Stegostoma tigrinum: one gene and its partners. The protein of the gene in region 4 interacts with the protein of the main gene of each other region in a pairwise test. Links are inferred from orthologs where the notes say so. Each region holds a gene or a part of one and is shown on either strand. Other genes may lie near its edges. The genes, in order: rnf208, rabgef1, plekhb2 and DAZ-associated protein 2.

The links.
Region 1: the proteins of DAZ-associated protein 2 (region 4) and rnf208 interact in binary tests that used the Homo sapiens proteins (3 or more experiments, as listed by UniProt). The two-hybrid records come from large-scale screens. The link is inferred for Stegostoma tigrinum from reciprocal best matches to the Homo sapiens genes DAZAP2 and RNF208.
Region 2: the proteins of DAZ-associated protein 2 (region 4) and rabgef1 interact in binary tests that used the Homo sapiens proteins (3 or more experiments, as listed by UniProt). The two-hybrid records come from large-scale screens. The link is inferred for Stegostoma tigrinum from reciprocal best matches to the Homo sapiens genes DAZAP2 and RABGEF1.
Region 3: the proteins of DAZ-associated protein 2 (region 4) and plekhb2 interact in binary tests that used the Homo sapiens proteins (3 or more experiments, as listed by UniProt). The two-hybrid records come from large-scale screens. The link is inferred for Stegostoma tigrinum from reciprocal best matches to the Homo sapiens genes DAZAP2 and PLEKHB2.

Annotation. Positions count from the first base shown.
Region 1 is NC_081382.1:4,060,072-4,067,565, reverse strand, and holds rnf208 (RING finger protein 208), read left to right. Parts: upstream 1-4,480; 5' UTR 4,481-5,406; coding exon 5,407-6,144; 3' UTR 6,145-7,273; downstream 7,274-7,494.
Region 2 is NC_081380.1:23,276,535-23,284,030, reverse strand, and holds the start of rabgef1 (rab5 GDP/GTP exchange factor), read left to right. Parts: upstream 1-4,488; 5' UTR 4,489-4,622; intron 4,623-5,018; 5' UTR 5,019-5,379; intron 5,380-7,496. UniProt on the Homo sapiens protein: Rab effector protein acting as linker between gamma-adaptin, RAB4A or RAB5A. Involved in endocytic membrane fusion and membrane trafficking of recycling endosomes. Stimulates nucleotide exchange on RAB5A. Can act as a ubiquitin ligase.
Region 3 is NC_081367.1:13,147,917-13,155,662, forward strand, and holds the start of plekhb2 (pleckstrin homology domain-containing family B member 2), read left to right. Parts: upstream 1-4,739; 5' UTR 4,740-4,944; exon of another isoform or gene 4,945-4,969; intron 4,970-7,746. UniProt on the Homo sapiens protein: Involved in retrograde transport of recycling endosomes.
Region 4 is NC_081404.1:5,873,551-5,880,922, forward strand, and holds the start of DAZ-associated protein 2, read right to left. Parts: upstream 3,019-7,372; 5' UTR 2,898-3,018; coding exon 2,885-2,897; intron 1-2,884. UniProt on the Homo sapiens protein: In unstressed cells, promotes SIAH1-mediated polyubiquitination and degradation of the serine/threonine-protein kinase HIPK2, probably by acting as a loading factor that potentiates complex formation between HIPK2 and ubiquitin ligase SIAH1.

The DNA of each region.
Region 1 (7,494 bases), on a different chromosome or scaffold from region 4:
TTCATTTAATAAATTACTGGAGTTTACCTTTTCTATGACAATATGACCAAATCATCTGATGAAGGGAATGGACTTTGGCAAGGGTATGCCTCCTGACAGCGAAAGGCCTGATTTACCAAGCCTCTAACAGCAGCCACAAGTTTTACAGTTCAAACCATCGATCAACTAGAAGCTGTGAGGCACGGGATAGATCTATGGTAAATATCTCTGGAACCACCCTATGCTCCAAAGTGAACATTGTAAAAACAAATGTAACATTTTGCTAAGGTGACTAGTGGTTCCCCACCATATGGACTACCATCAAACTGGTGTGTTCACCAACTACTCAATCAATGTTTGATTTGAAGAAGGCAAGGTTTTTGAGAGCAGGATCTGTGAAACTAAGATCGAGGATCATCAGCCAAGGGATGAAATGAACTGGAAAGATCTATGAAACTTCCAAACTGCTCATACTTTGTCTCCGCAATGTGCTGCTCTATCGTATTAAATCTCCTAGGTGGATATATCTGACCTGTTCCTCCTGAGATGCTGAATGATTGATTAGTGTGTGTGCCATTTGGCCCAGTGTCACCATATGCTGGCTTCTTTGGACACTACTGCTGTAAGAGAAGAGAGAAAGGTGTTTCTGCTTGTGGCTCACTTACACTTGAAAGAAGCTATGTGTAGATCTATATATACAGCTGTTTAATTATGTGTATGGAACTGTTCCTCTGTAGTAAAAAAAAACATGCCCATGTATTGTACCTATTTTGAATTAAATAACAGCATGAGGAGCAATCATGCATTCTCCACTAAATCACTTCAACCAACCAAAGTTGACTTGCCAGGGAATCAGTACCTTTTCACATGCAGTGTACTGTGTTGTTCCCTATGAAATTTGGTCTTCTTACACCTGTCCTGATGAGTGAAAGATGAAAAGCTTGAACAGTTTGTTTTCAACAATAGACATTTGTTCTTATGAAAGATCGTCATATCCAGCTTCCAATAGCTTTGATGACAATGAGCAAATGAGAGAGCAGGTGAGAAGGAAGAGTGGGAGACACACAGTTAGCAAAAATGCTGAAATATTTCTCTATTTCTTCAGTGGTCAAACAAAAGATAACATTAACATTATTGTTTATAATAAAGCAAAGTATTAGCATGTAGACCAGTGAGTGAGATAGTACAATATCGTGCAGCAACACCAGATGAAATCATTTATTTGGCTTGAATGCAAGTCTGGTGATGCAAAGTGTGATGATGTATCATTCAAGGCAAACATGAAAACTAGTTTCAGATAACATGAAGTAAAGGTGATTCAAATTATCCTAAATGATGAATGCATTGATGTAATGGAAGGTAACAGCTCCATACTTTAATTCAGATGGTGATTTCCTACATTTCATCAAGGAAAGCAGCGTGTTACTCATTGATGCTGGGAGCTACTTTCTATTATCGCTCTTCAGCAGTTTCTTGGGGCTCCTGTGACACCACAACCCAATATAAATGCTCCACCTCTGCTTCTTTCCTTCTGCAGTCCCACAAGAGAAACCTGGCATTCTGTGCCTTGCTGATCATTGCTGGTAGATGCATTTCTAAACAGAGGCCTTTGCCTGTTAAACACAATGACAGTCTTTTTCAGCTGCTGTTCTCCAGAACTCGCAATATTGCACAAAATCCCATTCGAGGTATGCTTCATTATGAGAGCACATTCCCACGTACACCAACCCGAGGATATGGAACGACTGCTCAAATCATAATTACATCAGGAGGGGAGGGCTAAGTATACCACTGGGTGGGTGATCTTCTTACTAAAATTGGAATGGAAAATGTGCAAAATCCTACCAGAGAGACCTCTTGTGTCTGCGGTTTTCTGGACAATACAAGAACAACGTATATCTTTTTATATGTTTCTCTGTCACTGTGGTTGTTCTGGAGGCGGAACATGAAGACCAAAGGTCAACTGAATCATACGGTGTGGTTGTGTTGGAGCAGCAGTGACTTCACATTGTCTAACTTCCAATCACTAGACAAGTTTCCTTCTTGGGTCTGGACGGAAACAAGAGGTTGTGCTTTATTGCTGTAAGTGAGCTTACTAGTTAGGTAAATACTTCTGACTTTATAATCTTTAAATATTGCAAGTTTGCATACAGCTTTCCCTGTCCTTATTGTAGCTCTGACTCTGTTTACTGGAGACACTATTGATTATTCCTACTGACTGCCCTTCATCAATGATGAGAAGTGAAGTCCTGACCCAGATACTGGGTGTTTTAACTCTTTGTTTTTTGCTACTTGAGCAGGTGGCTTGTACCTATTGGATGTTGTATGTCACATCTGTGAACAGGACTGACATGCAGTCTGATCCAAACTCTGAGCTGGGTGCATGTTCCTGCATGTAAAGCATTGCAATGGTGGTTTCTAGTACACCCCACGATCCAGCATGGTCATAAGACTAGAAGAAGCAGAAGTACACCATTCAGCACATCAAGTTTGCTCCACCATTTAATGAAGCCTTGGCCAATCTGATAATCCTCAAGTGCTCCACTTTCCTTCCTTTTCCACATAAATCTAATTCTCGTACTGATTAAGAATCTGTCTACCTTAGCCTTGAATACACTTAATGACCCAGTCCCTCCAGCCCTCTGCCATAATGAATTCCAGAGATTCAATTTCCCCTGAGAGGAGAAACTCCTCCTCATTTCTGTTTTAAGCAGATGATGTCCTCTGGTCCTAAACTTTCCTGAAAAGGGACACAACCTCTCTCATCTACCCTTTCAAATCTCCTAAGAATCTTTTCTGTTTCAATCAGGTCACCTCTCATTCTCCTGAATTCCAATGAGAATAGGCCCAACCTTCTCAACATCCTCTCATAAGACAGTCCCCCCAAATCCAATATCAGCCAAGGGAAACTTCTCTGGACTACCTCCCATGCCAGAATATTTTTCCTTAGATAAGAGGCCCAAAACTATTCACAGAATTCCAACTCTGGTCAGACTAGTGCCTTGTATCATTTTAGCAAGACCACCCTACTTTTACACTCAATTCCCTTTAAAATAAAGGCCAACATCCCAATTGCCTTCCCTATTACCTGCTGAACGTGGATGCCAGCTTTGTGAGTTCCCTCTGGCAGTGGGAGAAATACCCATCGTCAACTCCTGCAGTGCCAGCAGCACAAGGAGTCAATAGTGGGCATTGCTGGGCATGTGAACATTCCCAGGATAGAAGCCAGTGGGATCTCAGACCAACATAAGTTGAGAGCACTGAGTGGAGAGGTTTCAAGCATCTTAGGAAGCGGGGCAAGAGGGTAAAGGATGTAGGTTTCAATTCCAGATGGAGAGGTGGGAAGGGTGAGGATCATCTTCTGACGCGGGTGCCCTGATGTAAAAACGACACCCTCCATTAATTGTACCACTTTTACTTCCAGTTCTTTTGAAAGCTTTATTTTTTTAAAAAATCAAGCAGCCTATCTGCCAATGTCAACCATTTTACAACAAGGGCAACATAATATTGAGGCCTAAGTAGTTATTAATTATTTACCCACAGTGAAGACCATTGAATAAGTATGCGCCCAGTTTCAACCTCACCTGCAGCCTGGTATCATGAGGGCACTTCAAGGATCATTGGGAAGGTGGTGTGCTGCCTAATCTATTTTGTAGGCCACATCCCCCACCAAAAGCACAGCCAGCCTTGAGTTAGAAACTCCAAACCATATGCAAGGTTCCAAGCTCAGAGTGTCCACATACATTTAATTTACAAGCCTTAACAGCAGGGGATAGCCAATGCTTTTAGCCCATTAATCCAGGGAAGAGTCCAAATGCTCTTTGGTGTTCAGGGAATCTTTTCATTGTCTCGATATGTCCCAGATGTTGTTCCTTACGTTGTTCTCATTGGGTCAGAATTTATTCTTTTCTCTCATTGAGTTATTCCATGTCTTTGTAAAGTACTGTTTGCATTAAGTTCTGTCCTAAACTGTTCTGAGGACTCAGTGTACTTTAACACAGTGTAGAACACCCTTTCCTCTCATCAACCGACTGTCAGCTTGCAATCAGCAGGGTTTTAAAACTCAAGCTTAGTATCTGTCTCTGACAACTTCAAGATTTATCTTGCCTTCTCTGCCAATCTGTTTGATCTGTGTCATTTTCTGAATTGTAAACAGTCAATCCTTAAACTAAAGTTTCTTAATGAACTGAAAACATTCACTTTAACTTTCTTTGGAAGCACCTCATGGAATTAAACATTTTGTTGGGTCCCCTTTGTCTTGAAAATTCAAATGCCATTGTCACAAACTTTTAATAAATGTCACTGTATTGAGACATTTTGAGAGTGAAAACAGGTCAAACAGACTTCAAAAGGGACTAAAAACAAATATTATTTCCTTTTCGTCATTGCCCATTATCAAACTGCAGATAGTCAGAGGTGTCAGAAGACAGCAGTCAACATTGAACACAGAGGGAGAATGGAGGGGTTAAGTGTGTGAACTATCTAGAGGTGACCTCGCTGACTAGGAGGGTGTGAAGTAGTCAGGGGAATAGCTGCCTTCTCTTGCAGTAACAGCACTAAGCCACTGTGACTCAGGAAGGAAATGGCAACAGCATCATCCTCTGCTTTCTCAGCATCGATTGCAACACGGCGCAAACCCTTTGAAGGTTAGGCAGATGAATGAAAAATACAAGCAGCTAGACGTTGGTTTCAGTTGCAAAGGTAGCCTGAGTTGAGGTACTGCGGCCTGTAGCCCCTACACTGCTGAATGAGAGAAATGTGAGCTCGCTGCAGTACTGCAGTGCTGCTGCAGACAATACTGCCATCGAAGGTAAACAGAGGGCTCCAAGAGACAGACCGAGAGAGGAGAGAGAGAGAGAGAGAGCAAGCTGCAGAGCAGCCACTGCCCTTACTGTCAATACAGAGACAGACACTGTGCAGCTAGCTAGAAGGAGGACTGCTCAATTGAAAACTGGAACCACCAGATTTACTACAAGTGCAGGTAACGTGATTCAAGCAAGCATCTTCATATAATTCACTATTGCTAAGCTGAGAGCTTCTGTGTCGTTGACTCAGTTCTGTCATAAAGCTTTCTTCTGGGATATGTTTGCAGTGTTCGCCTGCTCATTTTGCAGCATTCACTGCCGTTAAGAGATTGAGCATCCAAAAGAGGAAGAGAAGTCAGGACATACAGTTATAAAAACTGACACCTTAGCTTCATTGTATAAAGAGCAGCGTGTTTGAAACTGATGTGGACTGTGCAAACGATTCAGGATGATTCTTACAGATTGTGTTGCAGCCTGAATTGACTGTATGGATAGTGAAGACTCCTGGTGCAAAGAGAGAAACCTGCAAAGGTGCAGAGATGGTCAGACAGGGAAGGGAGTGCAGGCCCTACCTGTGAAGCAAGCTGCCTAATCGCAGCTGGGACTCTCAGACCCCTAGCCCATGGCGTGCCTGAAACAGCAGCAGGCTGCCATCAAGATGGAGGCAGTGAAGATTGTGCCAGTGGAGAAGTTTGCGGAGTGCTCAAGCTCACAGGGCCGGTACGGGCCCTCACAGTGCGTACGTGAGCCACCGCTTGTGGGAAAGTGTGCCTGGCCCCTAGAATCCGAGATCATCGCAAACCAGGCCTGCGCTGACGTCCCCACCCTGGAGAAAGCCCGGAGCCCTAGCGGGCTGGCCCGGACACCACCCCGCCGTGAAAAATTTGTCCAGGGCCATCGCAAGGCTAGTGCCGAACTGTGTTACCACCGGCAGACCCCATCAGATGAGGTCATCGTTAATCAGTACGTTCTTCACCAGTCAACCACTTCTGAACCCCTGGAATGCCCCACCTGTGGCCACGTGTACAATGCCACCAACAAACGTCCACGGATCCTCTCCTGTCTACACTCGGTGTGCGAGGAGTGCCTGCAGATCCTCTACGAGTCCTGCCCCAAGTACAAGTTCATCTCGTGCCCTACTTGCCGCCGGGAGACCGTCCTCTTCACCGACTATGGCCTGGCAGCTCTGGCAATCAACACCAGCATCCTGGCCCGGCTGCCAGCTGAAGGCCTCACTGCCAACCCGGGCCAATGGGGCAGTGAGGCTGACCGCAGCTGCTACCAGACCTTCCAGCAGTATTGCGGGGCAGCCTGCAGCTGCCAGCTCCGAAACCCATTGTCTTCCTGTGTCATCATGTAGAGGAAGAGAGAGAGAAGGCCCTTCCCCATGTCACAGAGTAACATTTGTGACCAAAATAAGGATTACTGCTCCAAGACTGAACAACTTGCTGTTCTTTCTCAGCAACCTATATGGTAAATTATCTATAACTGCATTATCTCATCTGGGAGTTTCTGTGTTTTCTGTGAAATCAAAGGTATCAAATTCAGGTTGAGTGGCAAGTATTATGCAGTCTTGATAGTTTTGCCTGAGAGGCAGTGTTGCCAAGCAACCTGCACATTCTTGACTACGACCTCGGAATTGCTTCTTTCTCCACCCCAGTATTATACGACGCCTAAAACCATTGCCAAAGCAGCAAGTGTTTTAAAGTGTTGCCCTCTCTAGGTTGGTAAAGCTTAATGTGTTCTAGATGCACACCACACTATCCAGCAGCCTATCGAGACCCTCATTCTTGGCCCTGCCCAGTGCCCTCAATCTTTCACCAGAACACAGTGTCTGGCGAGAGCATTTCTTTAACCTGAAGTTTCGATTTTGATGGTTGGATAATTAGAGAAGGGTTTAGCTGCACTTATTTTTAATTGCAAACATCCTCACCTAAGCCACAGCCCTGCCCCAAACCTCCATGACATCAGAGGCATGTTAGTAGCTTTTGTGTGGTGTCAACCCAGCCAAAATCAGCACCGGGAGTGCTCGAACTGGGCCAGCTGCCTCAGCACTGTACAACCTCCCCCGAACCCCACCTCTAACCTCCCACCCTACACCCTCCATCCTCTGACCTCCCACCTCCAAGCCACTGTGGTTCTGGAGGAAGCTGGGCTGAAAAGGGTCACGACCATAGGTTTCCACATCGACCTGTCAGTCACAGTAAACATTTAACAAAGGCTGCTCTCACCTGTGTGTCTGAGTGCATTGGTTTTGCTTTTGCTCCTTGCCCCACCCACAATCCTAGTCTTGGGTCCCAAGAAGCCATTCACACCTTTAACACAACAGATGGAGAAATACTCATCTTTGGCTCCAAATTAGGTGTATAGAGCACCTACGGCCAAAGCTAACAGTCAGTGCTGGAGAGCTCACCGAGAGCAGTGCTAGGAACACAAAGAATGTTTCTTTATTGATTGTATTCTGTGAATAAACTCTATATTAGACCTTCCATTTGTCTTTGTGCTACTACAATAATTAATGAATGAAGTAGGTAAGCATTAGTGCATCTCCCAGCAAAGGGTTAAATTCAGAGCAATGACTGGTGAACATTGGTGCAAAGACTAACACTACAACATAATGGGGTGCCTCTGAGTGGGTTCCTCACTCCATCTTCTCCCCTCACTTCACACTACATATATAAATACTCATATCAAATTTTATTATCAAAAT
Region 2 (7,496 bases), on a different chromosome or scaffold from region 4:
AGATTTACCTTTTTTAGAACTGTAAAAGGGAAACTGTTTACACAAATGTACGAATTAGCCATGAGATTAGGTCATTCCTCCCCTTATGCCTTTTCCACCATTTATTAAGACCATGACTGACCTGACTGTGAGAATTTGGGTGAACTGGTTATGCAGCTAGTTTGTGGTTTACATAGGTAAAGTGTCAGAAATGGGTGTGTGATATTGGAGGGACTAAATTGTGAAAACCATGTGGGTGTGAGGTCACAAGGGTTTAAAAAAAAGCCATATTTGAGAAATGTATCAAATTCTTAGACATTATCTTCTGGAACACTTGATTCAGAAATTGTTGTCTTGAATTCAAAATCTGCCAAAATGGAAGGATAAGGTAGGTAAACTAAGAGCTGAGGGTTTTGTTAATTTAGTATTAATTATGGGGAATTACTAGATTCTGTTATTAGGGTCTCTATGATTTAGGATTTGTATAATTATGAATCGATCAGAACAAGCTAGACAAGTTCATTACATCGAACAAACTGATTTGAATTGTTTGAATAGAAAACTGACATGCTAGATATGGGAGTCTCTATGAATGCTATGGCTCAGATTCTTAAGGAGCTTAACAGGATAAATGCTGAAAGGACGTTTCCTCTCTTGGGAGAGTCCAGGACCAGAAGGCATGTCTCAGAATAAAGGGGCGCAAATTTAAGACCGAGATGAAGAGAAATTCCTTCTCTCAGAGGGCTGAGAGTCTTTGGAACTATTTGCCACAGAGAGCTGTGTGAGAAAAATCCTTGTGTGTATTTAAGTCTGAGATGGATTGATTGTTGATCAGTAGCGGAATCAAGGATACAGGGAAAGGGCAGGAAAGTTGTTGTGAGGAATGTCAGATCAGCCATGATTCTATTGTATGGTGGAGTAGGCTCAAGAGGCCAAATGGACTACTCCTATGCCTATTTCTTATGGTCTTATGATTAGTTGTATGGATTTTCAGAAGGCATTCAAAAAAGTTCCACAAAAGAGACTTTCACCAAAAGCCTGGCAATAGAGTGTAGAGCTGGATAAGGTCTAGGCCTGAAACGTCACCATTCCTGCTCCTCTGATGGTGCTTAGCCTGCTGCGTTCATCCAGCTCTACACTTTGTTATCTCAGCATCTGGCAACAAAAAGTTTGGATAAAGAATTGGTTAGGTGTTAGGAGATCAAAAATAAGGATAACAGATATATAATTACAATAGACCCGGTGTCTATCAATGATTTATTCTGGGCCTCAGTTTTTTACTGTATCTATAATTAACTGAGATTAAGAAATAGAGAGAAATGCATATCTAAGTTTACTCACAGCATCTAAGTTATGTGGCACAGTAAACAGATTGGAATGAAAAGTTTGTCTGGGATATCAATAATCTGTAGAGAAAACTGTGGCAGAGGAGTTCAATGTGGCAAACTACATACTTTTTACCCTTGAAAGATAGATCAAAACATTTTCTGAATGGCCAGAAACTGTGGATAAGCAGAGAGAATTTGGAGTTAAGTAAAGAAATTTTAAAAACTTAGTGCAAGTACAAAATCAAATCAATGATATGTTGGTGTTTAACTTGAGAGCTGGAATACAAAGGATGAATTTTATGCATGGGTGTACAAAGCTCTTGTGTGCAGTAGTCAATTCCAGGCACTGCATTTCAAGAAAAATATATTGGCCTTTGTAATGGTGCACTGTAGTTTCACCCAAATAATACCAGGACTAAAGGAGCTAAATTCTAAGCAAAGGTTGCATAAAATTGAACACTCTATGGAATCATCTAATCGAAGTTTTAAGATGTTTTCAGGATTTAATCAAGTAGATAGTACATATTTTGTTGGAAACTTCACTGATATTTTTCATTGTTTTTATTTTTATATCAATTTTGACTTGGAGCTGTGAGCTAGGAATTGAGAGTTGAACAACTCGTGGACTTTGGGATAGCTTATGATAAAGGGAAAAGAACAGATCAAATAAGCTTTTTTGAGATATCAGGCCTAGAGATTAAAACGTTTGATCAAAAGGGCTCTAACAGACACAGCAATCCCAGAAAGAGCACCATGTTTAAACAGATAGCAGAAGTTGTCTATTCATGGAGTCAGTACCTGGGAATTGGTTTCAGCAAGTCAGGGAGAGACACTGTGTTTAAGCAGATGACAGATGTTGAGTGGTAATTGAAGCCTTAGGAAAAGACATTCAATCCATTAGGGTGGAAACAGAGTTGGAGTTGTGTTTTAACTGTCTTATTTGGAGTAGAAGAGGTTGGCTGCTGACAACACAGCTGAAGATTTGAAAGCTAAGAGATCTGATCTCTCACACTAAGCTTCAGAAGCCCAGACAGTAGAAATTTGAGTTAGAAATATTATTAACCTTACCTGAGTAACTGAGAAGGTTCCCAAAAAAGCAACCAAACAGTCAACATCAATGCAGTGAAAAATGCATTGTGAAAACCATTTAAGTAATCTGACTAGTTTTATTACTTTTTTTATTTATCCCTTAACTGTATTTGTTTCTCTATCTTTTTTTTGTCTGAATGGGGCTGAAAACAAATGGTTCAGGTTTAAAGCATAGGCATGAATTAGACATTAACAGAAATCTATCAATATTTGTTTTGATTCTTTCAACTGACCTAGCTTCAGCAGCATTTCATTGGGGCAGGTGACAGGGGGAGGAAAGAAAGTCCCAGATTTCCACTAGTATTTACATTAAAAATGATTTTTTGATGTCACCCCTGAATTGCGCAGATTTTTCATATCTGGACTCTTCCAAAGGAAGTTGTTATGGAGGAAACAGACAGCCAAGCCAAACAGGCTTTCTACCTTTACATTTGCAATGCAGTAAAATTAAACAGTCAGAGTGTTACAATTCAAGATGGTGGTGTCACACAGTAGATAGCATTCAGACTCCTGAACGTGCCTGCTCCAGACAGGCTGCATCCTTCTCTTGTTTGCCTTTTTTGTCTTTTTCTTTTTTTTTCTTCATCTTCTGACTTCATGGGGAAGCTGGATCAGGGTGTCAGCTGTGTTGCCTGGGGCAAGGAATCATGGCTGCGGTAGGTGTGGCACATGGTCTTGGCAAGTAGTCGGCTGTGGCAGTGACAGTGCCTGGAGTGGGGAGTCCCAGCTGTGGTAGACCTGGAGCGTGGACTTGGCGGGGCATTGGTTGTGGCAGTGACCAGAGCGAGGACTCCTCGCTGTGGTAGGCCCAGAACATGACCTTGGTAGAGTCGGTGAAGGTGCCTGGACCGGCTCTCCCACTGCTATTTGCCTGAAGCATAGTCTCTTGGTAGGATCATCATTGCTGGTCTCGGAGCAAGGGCTCCTTGAGGCCCAGAACACCTTGCAGAAATCCTGGAGCTGTATTTGAAAACCCCCTTTACAAGGGATAAACTCTGCTTGTGTAATTTCTTTTAATTCTTTTTGTAACTCAAAGTGGTGCTGGATTGTGGTGACAAAACGCTTTTCACTTTATCTTTCTAGATATATATGACAATAACCAATTATCACTCAAATCAAGTATGGCCAACATATTTGATGCGCTGAAACGTAGGAATATGCACCAGAAAAACGGTCAAAAGTCGTTTTGTTCAGTGTACCAATCCCCCACAGCTTTGCGTACTCAAACATCACAGGTAGACATCCGACACAGAGAACGATGGATCGGAAACTATACAGTTAACAGGTTGAGATATCCTACCAAATCAGAGGGGCCAAAACGTCGTGGGATCGAAGGGTGCTCTCTGAAATGAGAGGGTCAAATTCCCTAATCATGAGCCCCATTCGTTGGGAGCCTTGACGGGTGGATAAAAACAAAAGGATGCGTGTCCGCAGATGTTTTCGTTTGGATGAATGGACAGGTAATCCGTCTTGATGTGAACCGGTGCAGTGGAGCTCGGAGTTATGCAATATTCACTTAACTGCTGGCCACGCAATAGAAGCAGTCTAGTACAAAGGAGTGCTGTGGATGCCAATACCGAGAAAGATGAGGACTTTCAGCAATGCCCCACGGACGATCAGAGTTCAGCTTCCAGTCCGGCAACTTTAATACGGCAGGGTCGGGCCATCCTCCCAGGTCCGAGGAAGGGTCACCGAACCCGAAACGTTAACTCTGATTGTTTTTCTCCACAGATGCTGCCAGACCTGCTGAGCTTTTGATTAGATTCCCTACAGTGTGGAAACAGGCCCTTCGGCCCAGCAACTTTTCTTTTTAAACTTTGATGGAAAAAGTTTACCAGGACAGAGATAGTAAGAACTGCCGATGCTGGAGTCAGCGATAAGAGTGTGGGGCTGGAGGAACACAGCAGGCCAGACAGCATCAGTGGAGCGGGAAAGCTGACGTATCGGATCGGGAACATTCAGATTTTCTTCAGATCCGAAACGTTAGCTTTCCTGATCAACTGATGCTGCCTGGCCTGGTCTGTTCCTCCAGCTCCACTAGGTGTTTCCAGGACAGTGACGTCAGCGCCGCTGCGTGTCGCTGCGCGGCTCTGTGCGCGATGACGCAATGACGCCTCCCTCTGAGGTATCGCGCGCCTTAGCGGTTGGTTAAGTGAGCGAAGAAAATTCCGGTGGGAGCTGGGGGTGTAGGAAGAGACGGAGAGTGTGGCTCGGACAGTGATACAGGTGAGGCCCTGGGTTTGGGTCCGCTTTCTGACAGTCTGAAATGAAATGAAATGATTGATTATGGCTTTGCGTTGTTACGCCGATCTTCACAGCCCGGGATGCGGCCGTGTCGATTGAGCCGGGGAGCGGCAGTTGGGAATCAGCCGCTGGCTAACCGGCATCTCCCTGCTGCACGGCAGGGCAGGGCCGGGCCATCCATCCTCCCTCCTTCCCAGCCATTGATGGCTGCAGGGAAAGGCTAGGCACAGAGCCGTGGTGTGGATGTGGAGAATTAGTACACAAACACCGGGTGATCTGCCCCAGAGAGAGAGAGAGATGGGAAGAAAGGTTTGAGAAGAGTCAATGCCATCTGTATTTAAATGTATTAATTTATTCCTGTGTTGATCATGTTGATAGTGTTCCTTCTCTCAGCAAGTCATGCGTTCAAGTCACACTCCTAGAGACTCGAGGACGTAAATAAACACAGACGGGCACTCCAGTATCGGATGGGCCAATTAAACTAGAAAGCAAAACAAAATTAAAAACTATATGCTCAGCAGATCAAGAAGTAGGCGTTTCGATCGAGATTGTAAGATGCTGCTTGGCCTGCTGTGTTCATCCAGCTCCACAACTTGTTATCTCGATCGAGATTGTCTTTGACCAGAACTGAAGCCTGTTTTTAATCTTCTTGGAATCGGGATCCACAGCACGATTTGGACAAGACTTCGCCCTCTGCCCCTTGCTAAAACTTGGTGTCCAGCTCCAAGCTTAATAACAGGTGGATTGCATGCCCTATTTATCTAAATCAATCCGGCCGCCGACGCGTTTTTACTGTACTGGGCCCTTATCAGATGTCACTAGAGAATTTGGCCCACTCGTTTTAGAGACCTCAAACCCATGCGAATTGGGACATTAACTCACCAGAACAAGTTGTTTGTGCTCAAAGTGGCTGCTGCATTTCCCTTAATTTCAGCTGCTAACGCTTCAAAAAAAATAGACTGTGAAGTAATTTACATCCCCTGGAGACTCGAAAGGAAGGCACTTTTTTATACTTCCGCTAGAGATGAAAATAATGTGCAGAATTAACCAGCGTGGAGCTGGACGAACACAGCAGGCCAGGCAGCATCAGAGGAGCAAGAAAGTTGACATTTCGGGACGGGACCTTTCTTCAGCATTTCAGAATGCTGAAGAAGGGTCCCTATCCGAAACATCAACTTTCCTGCTCCTCTGCCTGGCCTACTGTGTTTTCTCTTACTCCAGCATCTGCAGTTTTTAACTACATGTCAGAATTAATCATTCTGTTTCTTCATCAGTTGCATCCTGCTTCAGTAGTTTGTGGAGTATTTTGAGGTATCTCTGCAAAGTGTTGTAGAACCCTGTCTAGCTAGTCTTTGTCTCTGGGGCGAGAGTCAGTAGGTGGGTTACTTGTCGCAGAATTCCTAATGTTTAACATACTCTTGTAGCCATTTATTTGTATGACTGGTCCAGTTTATTTTCTGATCGGTGGTACTCCACCAGCTGTTTAAATCCGGGGATTTGGTGATAGTAATACAATTGAACCTCAAGGGCTTGTGGTTAGATTAATCAAGGTAATGAAAAAGTTACAGCTCAGATTTAGACTGAAGACAAAAGTAATTTGGACAGCAATTTCTGGTGCCTGTATATGTACAGTTAAAAACTGGTAATCAGTTACAATCTAAAATTGTCTCCCCTGATCGTGTCACTATACGGGAATGCCACTGAGAAATTTGACATTGAAATAAATGGAAGGTCATGGAGTTTCAATGCTTGTGAGATCTGACACCACTAATCCTGCAAAGACAAGTGCTGCCAGTCCAATGCAGTGCAACAACTTTTAAACAGCAGTTTGTTAATTACTGCACAACAGACTCCTGTAACACTGAAAATTGGCTTTTATTTTCATCTAATTTTCATTGTATTTGCAGATCTAATTAGAAATAATTTAAATACTCACTTGTTTCAAAGAAACATTTCCCTCTTATTTCTCTAACATCTGTCTTTCCTTCCTTCATTTTGCTTCCTGCACCTAACTTCGTATTTAGTTAACTATTTTAGTTTCCTGGTTAAGATTCTGTTTGACTTCTTAATCATTACAGAATGTAATGGTTTTGGTGAGACTTGTTATTTATATAAATGATTCAGATGTGAACATAGGAGATATGGTTAGTAAGTTTGCAGATGTCACAAAAATTGGAGGTGTATTGGACAGCAATGATGATTAGCTTTGTTTACAACAGAATCTTGAACAGTTGGGGCAATGGGCCAAGGAATGGCAGATGAAGTTTGATTTAGATATATGTGGTGCTGCATTTTGGAAAGTCAAATCAGGGCAGGACTTATACACTTAATGGTAAGTTCCCAGAGAGTGTTGTTGAACAAAGAGACATTGGAGTGCAGGTTCATAGTTCCTTGGAAGTGGAGTCACAGGTAGCTAAGACAGTGAAAAAAGTGTTTGGTATGCTTGCCTTTGTTGGTCAGTACATTGAGTACTACATTTGGGAGGTCATGTTGCCCTAGACATTGGTTTGGCCACTTTTGGAATATTGTTTGCAATTCTGGTTTTCCTCCTTTTAGAAAGGATTTCTGAATCTAGAAAAGGTTCAGAAAAGATTTAAGAGGATGTTGCCATGGTTGGACGATTTGAGCTATAGGCAGAGGCTGAACAGACTGGGCCTGTTTTCCCTGGAGTGTTGAAGGCTAAGAGGTGACATTACAGACGTTATAAAATCATGAGGGACATAGCTAGGGTAAATAGGCAAGGTTTTTTTCTCTGGGTTGGGGGAGTCCAAAACAAGAGGTCTTAGGTTTATGGTGAGAGGGGAAAGACATGAAAGGGACCTGGGGCAACTTTTTCATGCAGAGGGTGGTGCGTGT
Region 3 (7,746 bases), on a different chromosome or scaffold from region 4:
GGCTAAGAGAAAACTGTTATATCTCAGGACCACAGTTAGTAAATATGGATTGTATGAAAGGAATGATCCAGTTAAGTTTTGCAATGGAAATAGAGTAGATCAAGTGTAAGTTACCTACAGAAGGCATCACGGAAACACAAGATGCTGCATGGCAGGAGGAAGTACAATACAAACACAACAGCAGTCTCGAAAGATTGTGACTGACTTTATTAAAACAAGATATAACAGTATGGAATTACATAATAGGAGCATTTAAAATTATAAAAGGCCAGGACAGTAAAATCAGATTTATTGTCTCAGGTTTCTCCATTGCTGGAGAAGAACCACGCCTGATCTGCCATTTCCTGGTGTCCGGATAACACGCTTCCAGCAGGGGTCGCTCAATTAAGGTTACAAGTGAAAGGGGTGCTGCTCAAGCAGGCAGTTTTATCCTGGATGGAGTCTTGAACCTGCACCCATCCTGTCAAGTGGAGATTATCCCATTTCATTCCTGATTGCTAACTTATTGATGGTGGACAAGTTAAATGGAATCAAGAAATGAGATAGTAGGAATTGCAGAGGTTGGAGAATGTGAGATAATAGGGTGTAGAGCTGGATGAACACAGCAGGCCAAGCAGCATTAGAGGAGCAGGAAGGCTAACGTTTTGGATCGAGACCCTTTAAGAAAACGTTAGCCTTCCTGCTCCTCTGATGCTGCTTGGCCTGGTGTGTTCATCCGGCTCTATACCTTGTTATATCAAGAAATGAGCTGTTTGCTTCTTAATTGCCAGCTTCTGACCTGCACTTGTAGCTACAATATTTACATGGCTGGTCCAGTTTAGTTTTTGGTCAATAATAATGCCTGGGGTGCTGATAGTGGGGTATTAAGCGATGGTATTACCATCGAATGTCAAACTGTTTCCCAACACAAAACAGATGGACAAGTATAAATCTCCCAATCGTTTCCACCAAAGCATGTTGACAGTTTTCTGTTGCCTACTATGTGTTTCCAGCCTGAAACAGAGTGCAGATTGCAACTGTAACTTGCACCACATCATTGTCACTTTGAGATCTGAACAAAGTTTCAAGTGAAAACACTACTTGCAGCAAAGTTCTGGCTTTCTTTTCACCAAGAGATATATACATGCATATCTGCAGTGTGGCCACTTCGCTAAAACTGAATGTGCACTTTGAACTCCTAACATTTCACCGTTGTTCTAAGCTAACAGGACAAGATCATTCATAACTGAAGGGAGTAAATCCTCACACAGGAAACACCAGAAATTTTCAGCTCTGGATTCTAGCCAAGATATCTAAGCAGTTCAATATATGGAAGGAGAAGGGCATTCGATTCCTGGGATGTTAGCGCAGGTTCTAGGGAAGGGAGAACCTGCACAGGCTGGATGAGTTGCAACTCAACAATGCTGGCACCAATGTCCTTATAAGCAGGTTTTCTATTTGTTTAGGTGGTTGCGAAGCAGGAAAAGCATGAACATAAAGGTCAGAAGAGACAGATGGCACCAGAATTAGGAACTGTAAGGTATTAGGTGATTTTAAAGTAAGAATGATGCAAAAAGTCTATTTTAGATTTGCAATGCATGTATGTTAGAACACACAGCATGATAAATAAGATTCATAAAATGCAATCACAGACAGCCAATTGGGATTATAATTCCATTGTGATAGTGCGGATTGAATTAAAAAGAAAAGGGGGCTGAATTGGGTGCTAAATATTTCTGAACACAATGTTTTCTGCAAACATATGGAAGGAAAACAAAAGGTCACTTGGCAAGTTTTGATTAGGAAGAATAATACAGTGCTGGATATTTCCTTGAGTTGTAAAGGACAAAATCTGAGGTTACAGCTAATCATTGCATATCATTGCATTACTGCTGTATTCTGTGGGCCATCAACTCTGAGAAAGGGAGGGACACATTTGTAAGGAAATCATAGATAGGTACAAAACAAGAGTTGTAATGGCAAGCTTCAATTATCAAAATAAATATGATGGAAATAAGGTAATGGGCAGAAAAGAAGAGGGGAGAAGAGTTTCTGAAGTGCATTCAGAATAAAAGTTGGAAAAGAACCAAATGAAATTTGTCACCTCGCAATCACATCTCTCTAATAGCTACCATATAGTCATTCATTTTGATTTATGCCATTAATTGATCTAGTTATGAACGTTGTGTGCATTCAAAGAACTTTAATTTTGTCTTAATATAAAAGGTAGGAGTATAAGTAGGCCACTCAGCCCTTTGAGCCTGCTCAGCTATTCAGTATGATCATGACTGATTATCCAGTTCAGTTCCCTGTTCCCCATACTCCTTTCATGCAAGGAACCACATCTAAGTTCTTCTTGAAAATATTCAATGTTTTGGTCTCTACTGCTTTCTGTGACAGACAATTCAACATGCTCACCACTCTCAGGATAAAGAGATTTCTTCAAATTTCAGTCCTGAATAGTCTCCCCTGTATCTTTAGACTCTGTCCCCAGTTCTGGACTTGGGTCCTTGGAAGTATCCTTCCTTCATTTAATGTCTTGTCCTGTTGGAATATTATATGTTTCTATGACATCCCTCCTCCATCTTCAAAACACCAGTGAATCTAGTCCTAACTGATTCAGCCTCTCATCTTAGATAACAAGGTGTAGAGCTGGATGAACACAGCAGGCCAAGCAGCATCAGAGGAGCTGGAAAGCTGACATTTTGGCTCTGGACCCTTCTGGATCCTATCTCTCAGCCTCTCTTCTTATCATTTTTCCTTACTCTGACATCATTTAGTGGTCCATTCTTATGTTTGCACACTCTCTTTCTGCCACATTCCAGTTAAAATTAACATCCGACCTGATTTAATCCATCTCAGTAAAATTCAGTTGAAGGTCACCATAACAGTACAGCTCTCTATTTTCCCAGTAATGTTACCAGTCCTCCATGAAACCCCTATCTCCCATCTAAACTTTAAGCCATGCATTTAACTCTGATCCCACATCAGGAGTGTGTTAGAATAATCTCCACTTGCCCGGATGAATGCAGCTTCAACAACACTCTAGAAGTTTGACACCATCTAGATCAAAGCAGCCCACTTGATTGGCCCCCCCTGTTCGCCCTTCAGCATTCACATCCTTCACTGCCGACACACAGTGGCAGCAGTCTGACCATACTACAAGAAGCACTGCAGTAATTCACTAATGCTCCTTTGACAACATCTTTTAAACCTGTGACCACTGCTACTTAGGATAGGGCTGTAGGTACAAGGGAGTAACACCTGCAGGCTCCCGTCCAGGTCACATACCATTCTGACTGGAACACTGACACCGGGTCAAAATAAAAACTGAAAGAATTGCGAATGTTGAAAATCAGGATCAAAAGCAGAAGTTCCTGGAAAAACTCAGCAGGTTTGACAGCATCTGTGAAGAAAAAAAATCAGAGTTAACATTTCGGGTCCGGTGACCCTTCTGACCTGCTGAGCTTTTCCAGCAACTTCTGTTTTTGTTCCTTCACAGATGCTGCCAGAACTGCTGAGCTTTTCTAGCAATTGGGTCAAAATATCCTGGAGCTTCTTTCCTAACTGTGTACCGACCAAAAGGATTGCAGTTAAGAAAGCAGCTGAGCCTCACCTTCCCCGGACAATGTGGGATACGCAATAAATAATTGCTTATTTGGTGATGCCCACATCCCGTGAATGAATGAAAACAAAACAAAAACCCATATGCCATTTCGCACTGATAGTTAATCGATTCTGGGCCTTTTTAAGTTTAGCTCATTGCTGATCATCTGGCATGGAAGCTGTCACCAGAGGTGTCTTGGGCTACAGATTGGAAGGTGTTGTCTTTTCTAGTCTACTGCAATTTTGAGAGGTTTCTCTCTGGGCTTCTGACTGGGGCTTTTTGCCAGGTTTCCACTATTTGTTGTGAATTTTAAAAACTTAAAATATTCACAAACTTAGTTCATTTTAGTGATAACCATCAGTAGGTCCAGCAGGATGTTTGCTGTTAGTTCATGGAGTTGGAAGGGCACTTGTCAATTGGGCATAGGACTGAATGTCGGTGGTATGGAGGATTTCCCGTATTCATAGTGATGCTTTACTTGGAACCACAAAGATCTGTAGGCTGAATTGTATTGAATATGGGCTGCACAAAAAGGCATTCAGCTCGAGTGGTCTACCTAATGTTTATTTTTTTTTCTCGACCGAATCGACAATCGTGATCCCCTATACCCCCTCCTCCCAACACCCCCTGAAGTGCGAATGTTAGAAATCAGAACAAAAACAGAAATTGCTAGAGAAACTCAGCAGGTGTGGCAGCATCTGCGGAGAGAACGCAATGACCCTTGTATAGAACACAGCCTAACTCTGTTTTCTCTCCACAGATGCTGCCACACCTGCTGAGTTTCGCCAGAAACTTACGTTATTGTTTCTGATTTCCAACAGCCTCAGTTCTTTGGGCCCCTGCTACCCATTCCGCCACCCTCAAACTCGTAGCTGGCTAACTTTATAAACAGAGTAAATAGAGAAGGGCCAACTTCAGCTGATTTGATGAAGATCTCAGGGAGGTTTCCCTTCGGGAGAAACGTCAAATAAGATGTAAACACCTGCTGGAGGACACATCCAAAGAAGACAGCCCTTTATCATTCGTGCCAATAGCGCTGGAACGCGTTGGGGCTGGGTGGATTCACAAGGAAGTCAAAGCAGGAAGAAGTGACCCCACCCAAAACGTCAACTTCCCGGCTCCTATGATGCTGCGTTATCTCTGACTCTAACCTCTGCAATTCTTCCTATTTCAAAGCCGGGAGTCTTTCCTTCGGCAGTCTGCGATGCTGGATGGGAAATGTAGTCTCCGTCCTCGGCAGAAAACGGGGAACGGGTTTGAATGGACTATAACTCCCAGAGGCGACCGTGGCAAGGAGGGCGGAGAATAGGTGGATCGCCTGAGGACGCACTTGTCTTGTGACAAATTGAGGTGACGGGGTGAGTGGAGCTGCTAGGGCTGAGGGTGAGTAGCGGTTGCAGGTGGTAATGGGGTTCTACGAGAGTCTTTGTTCCAGTTTGGAACGTTGAACTGTTGCACGGTAGTCTTTGGATTCTAATTTGGAACGTTAAACTCTTACATGGCGTTCCAAGGAGTGTCTCTGGATTTCTGTTTCAGATGGTCGCGGCTGTCGAGGGCCGGGTTCATAGCGTGGTCACTTGGCAAAGGATTTGACTGTTTCTGTCTGCTGGGTGCGATGTTTCCAGTGTATTTCTTAAACCTAACCCCAGCCCAATAAATACACTAATGTTGCGCATCAGCAGCAGTAGGAAGCAGAAAGAGGGAGACAGGATTTGGGTTCATGTATATCTTCGTCCAGCCCACACGTAAACCAGGAGAACTGTTTATTTTTGCTGCTTAAACTACTGACTGATCCCTTTCGGATTTATCCTACTTTCTGACTGACCCTTCTTTCCCACCCCTCCCCTTTTGAAATATAAAACTGTCATGGACTTAACAGGTCTTTTATTATGATATGAGAAGGAGTAGGCGTCTGTTTGTTTTAGTGTGTGATCGTCGTCATCTGTGACAGTATCATATGACTACTTAATCATTCCTCCACCCTCTCTAGTAAACAAAAGCACATCATGTAACTTGTGGAATTAATAGTATGTTTGAAATTGACACACATTGTGAACCAATAATCGTTCATGATAGAGTGCTACTTAAACCATTTCACAGTTTCCCCAGAACAAAATTGTGAATTTATTATTTATTAGTGTTTTACAATGTTTATGCTATGTGTTATTGTTTATCATTGAAATAACTTGCACCTTTGCAGAGTGCTTAATTGAATTAAGTCCGTGGAGGATGAAATGCTTTAAGTCTGGGCCACGTGGTACCACTGAGTCACTTTCCAATCCACTGTAGTTCAGACAGTCAAAGCTCGTCATCTGTCCTTTTAGGCTTAATGTCACTGAATCAGTTGTTATTTTGTTCGTTCATCCAGCTGCTAGTGCTTAGCTCCTCAGCTAATTCAGAATTCCCATAAAAAGTTTGAGATTTCTTGACATGATTTATTTAAGGGTGTTGCGCATCAGCATTAAATTGGGGCAGGTTTACTTGAACAAAATCTAGAAGTTGCTGGAAAAGCTCAGCCAAGTCTGGTAGCATCTATGAAGAAAAATCAGTTAATGTTTTGGGTCCGGTGACCCTTCTGATTTTATTACTGACTTACAGCATCTGCTCCTCTTTTGGTTTAGATTTACTTGCTGTTGGGTTAACGTTAATTCCAAATGCTTTGTGGTGAAGATGTATATTTTAAAACCTAAATATGTCTCAAGGCTAGAAATTAGTGCTTGCAAATTGAATATGAAGTCTTGGGTTTGTACTAGATTTGGGTATACACTACCAAAGTCCAAACTGGAGAGATTTTGAGAACACGGTGCTTGTGTGATATTGAGGAAGTCCTGCACTATAACCCTGCTTGCTTATACAAACTTTAAAGTAACAGCCAACTCGGTTGAATGTAAATCATTCCTGTGCAATTTTCAAAGAAAAGCAAGGGCTAATACTTTTTTTGGACCTACCCAAAAAGTGCTTCAAATCGTGTCAGTGATTTTGGGCAACAGTAGGGAATATTCAAAATGCTGGTAACAGCTCACTTTCCCAATTGATGAATAATGGGATGTGTGCAGTGTTGAAGAAATGGCCAGGGTCCCCATTTGACTGGTATAATGGTGAATAGGCAACTCCAACCCCCGAGTTTTGGATGATGCAGCTATTTGATCCATTTCTAGAATGTGGGAGGATAACCAAAATGCATTTGTGGCCATAACCTTCAAATTGTGGAAATTATCATAGCAGCCTGCCCTCTAAGAATTACATTGAGAGGCATTTCTATTCATTACTATTTCATTGGTAGGCCATTGAATGAATGTCCAAATCGGAGATCGTGTTAAAATTTCTCCCTGTCAGCACAAAGTGGTAGCATCACTTGGCCAAATATGCTATAGCGTGCTCTGTGCTGATTTAATGTATTTGTGGAGCCTGGTGTACAATTTGGCTGATAATTTTCATCAGTTACAGCAATGATCATGTAACTGACTCTAAAGTACATTTGGTTATCCTGAAGCTGTACGAGTTACTTTCTTCTAAGAAAAATCTATGGATTTGAGGAGAAGCTGAAGGTCCTGAAGCCCTGCAGTAGAACAGATTTTGGTAAGGGGAATCTTATCAGATTTTAAAACTTGAAGTATTTTCATAGGGTAAAGTTTTGTTGGAAAAGCAAGCACTTATTGACCATCCCAATTGCCCTTGTAGTGGTGACCGGCCTTGAACTGCTGTAGTCCTTCAATTGTACTGTTAGGAAGGCAGTTCCAGGATTTGATGGGATAGTATATGACATGGTAGGAAACATTGGAGATGCTGTTCCCATCTGCTGCCCTCGTCCTTCGAGGAGATCTGTGTGTATGGTTTGGAAGGTGCTGTTGATGGAGGCTTTAACTTGTGGATGGTACACGTTGCCACAGCTGTGGTGCAGTGGTAGAGGGTGTTGACATTTTATGTGCATTTGGCTTGAATGGTGCTGAGCTTCTTGAGTGTTGTTAGCACTTTGCATGTCTGGGGAGATGGAAAATATTACAATCACACTCCAGACCTGTGGTTTCTGAATGGTGGGCAGGATTTGGGGAGGTGCTAGGTCTCTGCAGAATTCCAGTTGTCGGTGAAATCCACGTCTTTGACTTGTGTAGCTACAGCACTTATGTAGCTGCTGGAGATCAATAATTGTTTAATTTTTA
Region 4 (7,372 bases):
GCATGTGTCACGTATAGATAACTGGGATCAAGTGAACCCCTTGAGGAGTATAGTGGTTGTAGGAGTACATCTAAGGTGGAAATCAGGAGGGCAAAAAGGGGAAAGGAGATAGCTTTGGCAGATAAGATTAAGGAAAATTCAAAGAGATCCTACAAGTATATCAAGGGCGAAAAAGGGTAACTAGGAGGTAATAGGACCCCTTTAAGATCAACGAGGTCTTTTGCGTGTGAAATCACAGGAGATAGGAGAGATCCTAAACTATTATTTTGCATCAGTATTTAGCATGGAAGCTAAGGAACTCAGGGGGAAAAATATTGTTGTCTCAAACATCAGAGGATGGTCACCTCCAACAAGAGAGAATCTAATCATCCCCTTTGATGTTCATTGGCATTACTATTAATCAGCTCCAACAACATTCAAGACATTGCTTTGTCATGGATGGTGTCCAGTCAAGACTGAAGTGTGTATTACCACAACTTTTCTGAATGGGCAAAAGTGGAATAAAATATGGAAAAAATGTGAAGATTATCCACCTTGGTAGGAAATGTAGATTATTTCTTCAATGGCAAGAGTGTAAAGTATACAAAGTGACAATGTTTCCTTATCAAGAAGTCACTAAAATATAACAAAAGTTCAGTAAGCTATTAGGAAGCCTAATGGAGAATGTTAGACTTCATCGCAAGAAGATCTGTAATACAGAAGTAGTGAAATCTTGCTTAAATAGTGTTTGGTTCGACTGCACCGCGTGTGTGAAGGTTTGGTCTCATCTCAGGAAGGATATTAATGCCATACAGGGAGTGCAATGAAGGTTCACTAGACTTGTTCCTGTGATGGCAGGACTGTCATTTGAAGAGAGATTGGGTGAACCAGGCCTGCATTTTCTAAAGTTTCAAAGACAAAGGGGTTACCTGATTGAAACTTACAAAATACTTAAAAGGAATAGACTGGGTAGGTGAAGGCAAGATATTTCACCAGGTGGGTGAATCTAGAAACAGAGGGAACAACTTAAAAACTAAGGGGATGCCATTTCGGACCAATTAGAAGAATATAGTTTGCTCAGAGAGTTGTGAATTGTTGAAATTTTCTATCCCAGCGGGCTGTGGAAGCTCAGTCTTCAAGCATATTTAAATTCGAGGTTTGATAGATTTGTGTTTACCAGTGGCATAATGGGTTATGGAGATATTGGAGGTAAAAAGGCATTGAAGTGTTCAATCAGCCACTATCATATTAAATAACAGAACCAGGTCTGAAACCAGGGGGCACAGATTAAAAATAATGGGGATAACACTTAGGTCTGAGACGTGGAGAAATTTTATTATTCAGAGGGTTGTGAATCCTTGGAATTCTCTACCAATGGGAAGCTCAATCTTCAAATATGTTTAAAAGGCAGAGATTGATAGATTTCTGGGGATAAAGTGGGTAAAAAGGCATTAAAATGTTTGAGTGCATTGCATGATTGGGCAGGCTCAGTGAACTGAATGACCTACTCCTGTTCTTGTTCCTAAAAAGCAATTGAAGATGGGGAAATAAATGCCAAAGTTCACGTACCAAGGTTTAATAATCTTAAACATGAAACAATTGCTTGAGGAATCCAGGACAGACATGGAATCCAGCACAGCAGAATTGTGGTAGCAACATGAAATTCATAGATAATGGGAACTGCAGATGTTGGAGATTCCAAGATAATAAAATGTGAGGCTGGATGAACACAGCAGGCCAAGCAGCATCTCAGGAGCACAAAAGCTGACGTTTCGGGCCTAGACCCTTCATCAGAGAGGGGGATGGGGGGAGGGAACTGGAATAAATAGGGAGAGAGGGGGAGGCGGACCGAAGAAATTCATCTCAGGGACATTATCCAGAAACTTCTCAATTTCAACATGGAAAAACTCTCTAGTGGAATGAAGTGACAGTAGTCAAGACTTCACTTACAGATTTAGGGGATCATAAATCACATTATAGCGACAAATGCTTCTATTTTATACTCGTTTTAGATAACAGAATTGTTTTTCAGAAAAACATCAGCAGCAGGCGGAGCTGGCTATCCACAAGGGACACGCACTACTTAAGAATACCAGGCACTGAAATCTCATTATCACAAACAACAAATTTTATGACATTAATTAGCCTATTTTAAACCAGTTTAAGGTGTGGAGACATTTCGAGTCAGTGCAAGATGCGCTGAGCAAAACCGGCTCGTCAATCTGATATTTTATTAAGATCCCATTATCACTCAACAACTTGTATTTGTCAGTGTTTTGATGTGAGTCACAAGGTGCTTAAATGGAACATTGCGCCAAGTTTTGACACCGATCAAATGCTACAATGACTTTGATACATCACCAAACTTTGAATCTGTCCACCCCAGCGAGCATCTACATTGCCACCGGTGGCGTAGTTCATTGTTTGCTCAAAATCTACGCAGAGTTCAGAGCGGAAGAAAAGGTAAGGCTCCCAACGTCATGACCACGTCTCCAGTAACAACTGTGTGCGTGAGGACATTACATTAGCATAGCTGTAAGGGCCTAATCCTCGCAACAGAGGGAGGTATTGGAAAATAGGTCTACAACGGGCAGGAGGGGAAAACACACGAATTTCCCTCAGAGGGTTTGAAAAAAAACATGTACTAACATTCCTGTCAGCTGTTAGTAGTTTCAAAAATAAATTGAAAATAATTCGCAGTGTTTGTGTAAATCAGGGCTGGCCTCTTACTTCGATCAAGGATATTTGGCCAGGAGACAATCGAGACTGAAGTCGAGCCAATGGTCCTAATTTGATTGGGCGACCACACTCACCACTGTCCAAGAGCCGCACTTAGGCTGGGCTTCGCAAGGTGCAAACCACCAAAGCTTCCCTGGTTTTAATCCGGACAAAAGCCCAGACTTACCTTTTTTACTCATACTGAATGCAGCGTGCGCTATCGATTCTCGGTTTCTCCAAGCTCCGACTGATTTCGTTCAAGCGACTCACTTCCTTGTTCTGATTCTGTGGCAGCACCGCCCATCACTCCCTGGAAACGCACCAAGACTCTTAAAGGGAAATTGCATTTGTTCTATCATTCTATTTAACACGGGCACAATTAAAAGGAAAGATCTTTGAACAGTTCATTCAGGCCATCGATTGTTTTATTCAAGTTAGACTGATCGAAGGGGAAATTAGACGAAGGTTGTGGTTCTGATCATGGCAATAAAAACTAGTTTCGAGGAAGGGTCACTCGACCCAAAACGTTAACTCTGATTTCCCTACACAGATGCTGCCAGACCTGCTGAGCTTTTCCAGCAACTTGTGTTGTGGTTCTGTAAGAAAGCAAACGTGAATAGATAGCAGGAGAGAGTAATGCCAATCACAGTCTAATAGTTTATCAGTTATTGACCGTTACTGTTTAGCCTTAGCTGCCTTTCAGATGAGATGTGAAACTAAGTCTTCTCATTCTCATGAGGGCAGGAAATGACCTATTATCGCCAGACTATTAATCCAGAAACTCCGCTAATGTTGTGGGTTTGAATCCCACCGTGGTAGACAGTCGAATTTGAATTCAATTTTTTTAAAAAGCTGGAATTAAGGATCTACTGGTGTCCATGAAACCATTGTCATCTGTTGGGAAAAGCCCCAGCTGGTTCACTAATGTCCTTCAAAGGAAACTGCCATCCTCACCTGGTGTGGCCTACACGTGACTGTAGACCCACGGCAATGTGGTTGATTATAAATTGTCCTCTGAAATGTCATAGGAAGCCACTCAGTTGTATCAATCACGACAAAGTCTGAACAAAAAAAAAATCAAATTGGACAGACTACCTGGCATAGACAACAAAATCTCTGTCAACCCTGCAATGTCCTCTGGACTGAGTTCTCTTGATTACCTGTGTGTACTGTCAGTGCATACTATCTACAAGATGCGCTGCAGAAATTCACTAAGGGTCCTTAGACAGCACCATCCAAACTCATGCCCACTTCCACAAGTAGGACAAGAGCAACAGATACATCGGAACACCACCACCTGCAAGTTTTCCTCCAAGCCATTCAATGATTTGAAAGTTCCTTCTCTGTTGCTGGGTCAAACTCCTGGAATTCCTTCTCTAAAGGACATTGTGGGTCTCCCTACAGCATGTAGACTGCAATGGTTCAAGAAGGCAGCTTACCACTACCTTCTCAAGGACAAATGGTGATGGGCAGTAAGTGTTGGGCCAGGCAGCAATACCCATGTCCCATAAGCGAATTTCAACAAGTGGACATAAAAGATCCCTTGATGCTTTTGAAGGAAAGTAAGTTTTTCTTGTTTTTTCTTGGTATAATGGCCAACATTTGTTCTTCAAACAATACCACTAAAATGTATTGTCTCATTGCCAAACAGAGTTCCTACTTACAGCGATTCTTTGTCACATTTCCTACAACAGTTACTACTCTTCAAAAAAACATCATTGGCTGTAAAATATATTGGGATACTCTGAGGTTAAGAGAGGTACTCATACAGAAATGGAGGTGCTTATCACCATTTAATCAACACACACACTTGGGCTGGGAATCAGGGAGGTTTTGCCATCTGTGAAATGGCATCCAACCACCAGCTAACAGGAGAAATAGGTGGAAATTCGGGAAAATATCTCTCTTGTATCCCCACATGGGATAAGTTCAGGGAGTGTAGCATCATCATCTGGAGCTTCGCAAATGGGAAAGGAGTTGATAGCTTTGCTAAGCTCCTCCACTGCGGGTCTTGTATCACTCTTCTGTGTCAGTTAGGCTCTCTGCAAAATCTAGATATTCATGCCCCCCACTGGACTGTAACTCAAATTAGTGTTCTACTCATCTCTCTAACTGTCATTCCAAATGATAGACATAGAAACGTAGGAAATATGAACAGCAATAGGTCATTTGGTCCACTGAAAACACTCTGCAACCACTCAACATGGTAATAAAATGTGAGGCTGGATGAACACAGCAGGCCAAGCAGCATCTCAGGAGCACAAAAGCTGACGTTTCGGGCCTAGACCCTTCATCAGAGAGGGGGATGGGAAGAGGGTACTGGAATAAATAGGGAGAGAGGGGGAGGCGGACCGAAGATGGAGAGTAAAGAAGATAGGTGGAGAGAGTATAGGTGGGGAGGTAGGGAGGGGATAGGTCAGTCCAGGGAAGACGGACAGGTCAAGGAGGTGGGATGAGGTTAGTAGGTAGCTGGGGGTGCGGCTTGGTGTGGGAGGAAGGGATGGGTGAGAGGAAGAACCGGTTAGGGAGGCAGAGACAGGTTGGACTGGTTTTGGGATGCAGTGTGGGGGGGGGGAAGAGAGCTGGGCTGGTTGTGTGGTGCAGTGGGGGGAGGGGATGAACTAGGCTGGTTTAGGGATGCAGTAGGGGAAGGGGAGATTTTGAAACTGGTGAAGTCCACATTGATACCATATGGCTGCAGGGTTCCCAGGCGGAATATGAGTTGCTGTTCCTGCAACCTTCGGGTGGCATCATTGTGGCAGTGCACGAGGCCCATGATGGACATGTCATCTAGAGAATGAGAGGGGGAGTGGAAATGGTTTGCGACTGGGAAGTGCAGTTGTTTGTTGCGAACTGAGCGGAGGTGTTCTGCAAAGCGGTCCCCAAGCCTCTGCTTGGTTTCCCCAATGTAGAGGTAGCCGCACCGGGTACAGTGGATGCAGTATACCACATTGGCAGATGTGCAGGTGAACCTCTGCTTAATGTGGAATGTCATCTTGGGGCCTGGGATAGGGGTGAGGTGGGAGGTGTGGGGGCAAGTGTAGCATTTCCTGCGGTTGCAGGGGAAGGTGCCGGGTGTGGTGGGGTAGGAGGGCAGTGTGGAGCGAACAAGGGAGTCACGGAGAGAGTCGTCTCTCCGGAAAGCAGACAGGGGAGGGGATGGAAAAATGTCTTGGGTGGTGGGGTCGGATTGTAAATGGCGGAAGTGTCGGAGGATGATGCACTCCGCTCAGTTCGCAACAAACTGCACCTCCCAGTCGCAAACCATTTCCACTCCCCCTCCCATTCTCTAGATGACATGTCCATCTTGGGCCTCCTGCACTGCCACAATGATGCCACCCGAAGGTTGCAGGAACAGCAACTCATATTCCGCCTGGGAACCCTGCAGCCATATGGTATCAATGTGGACTTCACCAGTTTCAAAATCTCCCCTTCCCCTACTGCATCCCTAAACCAGCCTAGTTCATCCCCTCCCGCCACTGCACCACACAACCAGCCCAGCTCTTCCCCCCCACCCACTGCATCCCAAAACCAGTCCAACCTGCCTCTGCCTCCCTAACCTGTTCTTCCTCTCACCTATCCCTTCCTCCCACACCAAGCCACACCTCCAGCTACCTACTAACATCATCCCACCTCCTTGACCTGTCCGTCTTCCCTGGACTGACCTATCCCCTCCCTACCTCCCCACCTATACTCTCTCCACCTATCTTCTTTACTCTCCATCTTCGGTCCGCCTCCCCCTCTATCCCTATTTATTCCAGAACCCTCACCCCATCCCCCTCTCTGATGAAGGGTCTAGGCCCGAAACGTCAGCTTTTGTGCTCCTGAGATGCTGCTTGGCCTGCTGTGTTCATCCAGCCTCACATTTTATTATCTTGGTATTCTCCAGCATCTGCAGTTCCCATTATCTCTGATACACTCAACATGGTCATGGCTGATTCTCTACTTCAATGCCATACTCCTGCTCTTTCCCCATAGCCGTTGATGCCTTTGGCCTCAAAAAATCCAATTCTTTCTTAAATGTATTCAACGACTTGGGCTCTACAACTTCTGTGGCAAAGAATTCCACAGGTTCATCACTGTCCGAGTGAGGAAATTTCTGGTCAACTGAGTCTGATATGGACTACCCCACATCCCCAGACTGTAACCATTTGATCTGTACCTCCTAGCCAGGAGAAATATCATCACTTCATCCTATCTGTTTCTGTCAGAATTTTATGTTTCAATGAGATCCCCTTTCATTCTTCTGAACCCCTGAGAATATAGGCACAATCTCTCCTCATGTGACAAACCTGTTATGCCAGGAATCAGTCAGGTGGACCTTCACTGCACTTCCTCTGTAGCAAGTATGTCCTTTTTATAAGGTAAGAAGACCAAAACTGCATTCAAAACTCTAGTTGTGGTCTCACCAAGACCCTGTACAGCTGCAGTAAGACTTCCTGGCTCTTGAAATAAAAGGCCAACATACCACTCACCTCCTAACTGCTTGCTGCACATGCATGCTTGCTTTCAATGGCCAGTTTGCAGTGACATGTATACCCCTTTGTATGTCAACATTTCCCAATCTATCACAATTTAAATAATACCCTATCACTCTGTTTTTCTTACTAAAGTGGTTAGCTTCACAATTACCCCTGTTATCCTGCATCTATTATGCATTTGCTCAATCAACTTG